Linked DNA regions of Saccharomyces cerevisiae S288C. The protein of the gene in region 2 interacts with the protein of the main gene of each other region in a biochemical or structural test. Each region holds a gene or a part of one and is shown on either strand. Other genes may lie near its edges.

What was found. The genes of interacting proteins can lie anywhere in the genome.
Region 1: the proteins of TIM17 (region 2) and JAC1 form a complex in vitro, tested with the Saccharomyces cerevisiae proteins (one study listed by BioGRID).

The regions. Positions count from the first base shown.
Region 1 is NC_001139.9:458,610-461,533, forward strand, and holds JAC1 (J-type chaperone JAC1), read right to left. Parts: upstream 1,056-2,924; coding exon 501-1,055; downstream 1-500. Other genes in the region: casein kinase 2 regulatory subunit CKB1, read left to right, coding at 1-383; ATE1 (arginyltransferase), read left to right, coding at 1,245-2,756. UniProt on the Saccharomyces cerevisiae protein: Co-chaperone required for the assembly of iron-sulfur (Fe/S) clusters in mitochondria. Stimulates the ATPase activity of its specialized Hsp70 chaperone partner SSQ1, to mediate the transfer of iron-sulfur clusters from ISU1 to GRX5.
Region 2 is NC_001142.9:144,999-148,077, forward strand, and holds TIM17 (protein transporter TIM17), read left to right. Parts: upstream 1-2,102; coding exon 2,103-2,579; downstream 2,580-3,079. Other genes in the region: SFH5 (Sfh5p), read left to right, coding at 162-1,046; ROQ1 (Roq1p), read left to right, coding at 1,361-1,675; IRC9 (Irc9p), read right to left, coding at 2,821-3,079; serine/threonine protein kinase YAK1, read right to left, coding at 2,969-3,079. UniProt on the Saccharomyces cerevisiae protein: Essential component of the TIM23 complex, a complex that mediates the translocation of transit peptide-containing proteins across the mitochondrial inner membrane.

The sequences.
Region 1 (2,924 bases), on a different chromosome or scaffold from region 2:
AATTTGGAACGTGCCCCCGTTACTATTGTAATGGCATGCAGTTGCTGCCTTGTGGGTTGAGCGATACAGTTGGGAAACACACCGTAAGGTTGTACTGTCCCAGTTGTCAGGACTTGTATCTTCCCCAATCATCTAGATTCCTGTGCTTAGAAGGTGCATTTTGGGGGACAAGCTTCCCTGGTGTGTTCTTGAAACATTTCAAAGAATTGGAAGAGTATGTGGAAAGGAAAAGTAAAGAGTCCTACGAGTTGAAAGTTTTTGGGTTCAGGATAAATGATGAGGCAGTATCTGGTCCTAGAATGAAGTGGTTGAGACAATATCCATCCACGGAGGAGGACTGGGAAGAATTTGCCAAATGCGAGTTCGAGACACCGGCGGTTTAACCCTTGATTTATTTTCCTCTTTGCCCTACCATATACATATGTACTTTACCTATTTACATTGTTTCAGTTTTTATATCACCACTATTATTATTATTACTATTACCACTTTGGAGTACTTTAGTGATTCATTTCCAATTGTTTTCCTGGAGCCCAGTCTTTGAATGCCTTGGCCAAGTTGTACCAGTACTTTAGCTCCACGGTCAACTTCACTGCGGCGGCGTAATCCTTGTCATTGTAGCATTGTCCCAACTGGGCTTCAATATCTTGAATTCTTTCCTTGTTTTGCTTTTCAAGCAGCTTCACACCAGCTTCGTCGTCCATCTGGGATAATTCATCATGGATGTCTAGAACTTTCAATAGTAACTGTGGATCACTGGTAGTTACTTCATTTGAGGTCTGTTCTTGCGTCAAATCGATATTGCGCAAGAGTTTTAGCATATATTGTGACCTTCTAAGGGGATCTTTGAGAGTATGGTAAGCTTGATTAAGAGTTGATGACTGTTCACTACCTTGTTGGGCCATGTCTGGATGGTGCTGTGCTTGTAATTGCCTATACTCCTTCCTTAATCTGGATTGATCGATAGTCCAAATGGGTAGCTTTTTGGGGAAGGTCTTTGGGAACAGCTCGTAAAATGTAGAAGTGAATCTTCGTTGAACCAAGTATTTCAACATTGTGCTTGTGGGGCTTCTTGATACCTGTTTCCATTATCAGCCTCAGCCTTTAATTTCGCATCATCTTTTTAGTTTCCTTTTCTTTTTCGTTTTTTTTTTACCTATTGTTAAGAATTACGCTGTGAGTTTCATTGCTATTGTTACAAAAGACAAGATAGTCTCAAGATACAACTGAGAAGAAGCACAATTATGTCCGATAGATTCGTTATTTGGGCTCCCTCGATGCACAATGAACCTGCCGCAAAGTGTGGGTATTGTCACGGTAATAAGGGGGGCAACATGGATCAGTTGTTCGCATTGGATTCGTGGGCTCATCGTTATATGAACAAAATGGACGTTGTAAAGATTGAAAACTGCACAATTGGCTCTTTCGTGGAACATATGGATGTAGCCACGTATGATCGCATGTGTAATATGGGATTTAGAAGGTCTGGTAAGTTTCTTTATAAAGTGGACCCGTTGAGGAATTGTTGTAGGTTATACACCATTCGAACTGCCCCTCAAGAATTGAATATGACAAAGGAATTGAAAAAATGCATCAGCCGCTTTGCTACTAGAATAACAAGTGAGGACTACTGCCCAGCCGCTGTTGCAAGCAGTGATTTTGTGGGCAAAATTGTTAATGCAGAGATGAATTCTAAAACATTCTATACCCGATTTGAGCCTGCACTTTATAGTGAAGAAAAGTATCACTTATTTGTCAAATATCAGGAAAAAGTGCATCAAGACTACAATAATTCGCCGAAGTCCTTTAAGCGATTCCTATGTGATACGCCCTTTGGCCCTGAAGCGGTGTTGGGGACACAAGAATCATGGGAGCAGTTAAACAATTGGCAGCGAATGAAGCCAGGCGAGAAACTGAAGCATATGGGTCCTGTGCACGAATGCTACTACTATGAGGGTAAATTAATTGCCATCACTGTGTCAGATATCTTGCCCAGTGGTATATCTTCGGTATATTTTATTTGGGATCCAGACTACAGTAAATGGTCCCTAGGGAAGCTCAGTGCTTTGCGCGATCTTGCCATCATTCAAAGGACAAATCTGCAATACTATTACCTGGGGTACTATATTGAGGACTGTCCGAAGATGAATTATAAAGCAAACTATGGTGCGGAAGTACTGGATGTGTGTCACAGTAAATATATCCCATTGAAACCCATTCAGGATATGATTTCTAGGGGCAAACTCTTTGTCATAGGTGAAGAAGAGACGAAAGTTACTAAGGAGCTCTACCTCGTTGACTCTGAAACCGGAAGAGGGGAGGGATTTCCCACTGATAATGTTGTCAAGTACAAGAATATTGCTGAGGAAATATACGGTGTGGGAGGGTGTGCGTTTAAATCTGCAAATGAATCTGCATTGGAATTGAAAGAACTTTACGGTATACCGTACGAAGAGGAAGATTTAGATACCATCTACCATTTGAAAGAACACAATGGCCATGCTCCAAATGGTATTCCTAATGTGGTGCCGGGATTACTCCCGCTATGGGAATTGCTGGACATTATGCAATCTGGCAAGATCACTGACCTGGAGGGAAGACTATTTCTCTTCGAAATCGAAACGGAGGGGATTCGACCATTAATTAACTTTTATAGCGAACCTCCGAATGTCAAGAAACGTATTTGTGACGTGATACGGTTATTTGGCTTCGAAACTTGTATGAAAGCCGTCATTTTATATAGTGAGCAAATGTGAGCCTTCAACACACTATTCTAATAACAATCCTAATGTATAACATTTTTTAGCATTCAAACATTCTCACCATCGCGCTGAGATAATTTTATATAGTTGATGGAATAGTTTTGGAGGTGATTTATCCATTAAATACCTGATGCTTTTTTGTCTCCTCATCGCGTGAAAAAT
Region 2 (3,079 bases):
TGGCTAGAATTGGGCGGAATGAAAAAAAAAAACTATGTCCATCGCTTTACTAATTAGTGATCGCACCAAGAAAAACGAGCTGTACATTGCAATTGTACCTCTTTTTTTTTTCCTACTTAGAATCCCAATCGTAATTAATTCACTAAATTAACATCCTTAAAATGAAATTCGACAATGACAGTGAGAAGCAGGTTTTCGATAAGCTTAAAAAAGCGATTCCTGGTATTATCAAGGAAAAATGTGCAGGATACGATGAATTGTATGGTTACAAGTTGAATCCTGAAGGTCTTACACAAGAGGAGGTTGATAAATACTATGACGAAAAAATCGCCGATCGTCTAACCTACAAACTTTGCAAAGCCTATCAATTTGAATATAGCACCATTGTACAGAACCTGATCGATATTTTGAATTGGAGGAGGGAATTCAACCCATTGAGTTGTGCCTACAAGGAAGTCCATAATACAGAATTGCAAAACGTTGGTATTTTGACATTCGATGCAAACGGCGACGCAAATAAAAAGGCTGTCACTTGGAACTTATACGGCCAACTGGTCAAAAAAAAAGAATTGTTTCAAAATGTGGATAAGTTTGTACGCTACAGAATCGGGCTCATGGAAAAGGGTTTGAGCTTATTAGATTTCACCAGCTCCGACAACAACTATATGACCCAAGTCCACGATTATAAAGGCGTCTCCGTGTGGCGAATGGATTCTGACATTAAAAACTGTAGCAAGACGGTCATTGGAATCTTTCAAAAATACTATCCAGAACTGTTATATGCAAAGTATTTTGTTAATGTCCCCACCGTTTTCGGCTGGGTTTACGATTTAATCAAAAAGTTCGTTGACGAAACCACCAGAAAGAAGTTCGTGGTATTAACCGACGGCAGCAAGTTGGGTCAATACTTGAAGGATTGCCCATATGAAGGGTATGGCGGGAAAGATAAGAAGAACAATCTGACCAAGCAAAATGTCACAAATGTCCATCCAACAGAATACGGCCTTTACATTTTACAAAAACAAATCATCGAGGACGTTGAGTGATTTGTTGGCATGATCTAATAATAGTCTCTTATATAAACCCTATAATAATTTCTTATTTTTGCCTTATATTCAGGTAAATCACCATCTAACTGTATTATCTCTCACGTATCTTCACTTATATGGCTCAGAAAACACCGTACGAAACGAAGGGGCTGCGAAAATGTTTCTAGAAGGTAATGGCAATAATAGGGATACAGATCGATCAGATCCGCCTATATAAAAGACAACGCACCGAAGGTGAACAAGATCGCAGATAAAGGTATTTACAAGGGAAAAAAGTCAGCAAAAACAAGAGATAAGATAACAAGAAGAAGATGTTAAGGAGGGAAACTTCAACAATATACAGGACACACAAAAAAAGCAACAGTAGTATACTCAGGAGCCAGCGGGACCAGACTAGAGTGGATTCCTTGGTAGAGGAGTCTCCCATGGGCGATTTCGGGATCAATAACCAGCCTACACAGCCTGGCGTGATATACTACTTTGTAGAGCTGACTAATTTAGGCATACAGGAAAACACAAGCAGTAATAATAACAACAACAATAATCATGGTGACGATGAAAACGGCAGTCGATACGGCCACGGCAGCAGTCTGGGTGGAGACGTTCACTCTCGCCGTTGTTCATGAACTCCAGCATTATAAAGCATATCTAACAATACCATTCGGGTTATACTGAATAGCCCACGCACGGGTTCGGGGTTGTAACGATTATATGCATTTCATAACATGCCACTGTCAGTGGCGCCACGGAAGGATAGCGGGACTTTATCAAATCATTAATTTCTGTGCATAAAGTGTATAGTATATTCATATAGATATGTATATATATCATTGAATACAGAAATCTTCGGGTGTATACAACGAACATTCATCGGACGCCTTTTTTACTGCTATTGTTCAACAAAGTGGGTAACCCGGCATTCTTGCGCCAAAGTTTCCATTTTTATGCCAAATCCAGAGGATAAAAGCACTATTCTCATCAAAAGATGGAAAAGCTGTGAAAGAGTCAAGTTCAGAAGAAAGCGTTAAGAAAAATAGAGTACACGGGAGCGTTATGTCAGCCGATCATTCGAGAGATCCATGTCCTATAGTCATACTAAATGATTTCGGTGGTGCTTTTGCCATGGGTGCCATTGGTGGTGTTGTTTGGCATGGGATTAAAGGTTTTAGAAATTCGCCATTAGGTGAGCGTGGTTCAGGAGCTATGAGCGCCATTAAAGCGCGTGCTCCCGTACTGGGTGGTAATTTTGGTGTGTGGGGTGGTTTATTTTCGACTTTTGATTGCGCTGTGAAGGCCGTTAGAAAGAGAGAGGACCCATGGAATGCTATCATTGCAGGGTTTTTCACTGGTGGCGCTTTAGCTGTAAGAGGTGGTTGGAGGCATACAAGGAACAGTTCGATCACGTGTGCTTGTTTGTTGGGTGTGATTGAAGGTGTGGGACTAATGTTTCAAAGATATGCTGCTTGGCAAGCCAAACCTATGGCTCCTCCTTTGCCCGAAGCACCTTCCTCTCAACCTCTGCAAGCTTAGGCATGTAGACATTATATGAGCCATTTTTTCATCGTTGTTGGAAGTACCCTTATTCGGCATGTTTTTTGTTACATAAATGACGTATCGCACTAGCCTCCTTTACGTTTTTACTTTATTTCAGCCTTTTATTTCAAGATTACCAACCATTTCTCTCAACCATGTACATATTATATATTGAAAAAGTACCATACTTCATCTCTGAAGAGAAAATATCAACAAGCCAAAAGCTAGTGCAGAAACTTTATAATGTTACTTTATTAATTGTAATGACTATACGTATAAGGAAAATTAAGAAAAGGCAAAATTCATATTTATTTAGTATATCATTATGGCACCAAGCCGTAATAAAATGAAATGGGTAGTTAAGAAAAGTCAGACAAAATAACGATTTATTCTTCGACAATGTGAAGTTTATTGAACGCGCTTGTTGGCCCTTCTTGAACAGAATGAGTAACAGCAAAATTATTGGAGATGTCGCCAGATGTATTCTCCTTCCTTTT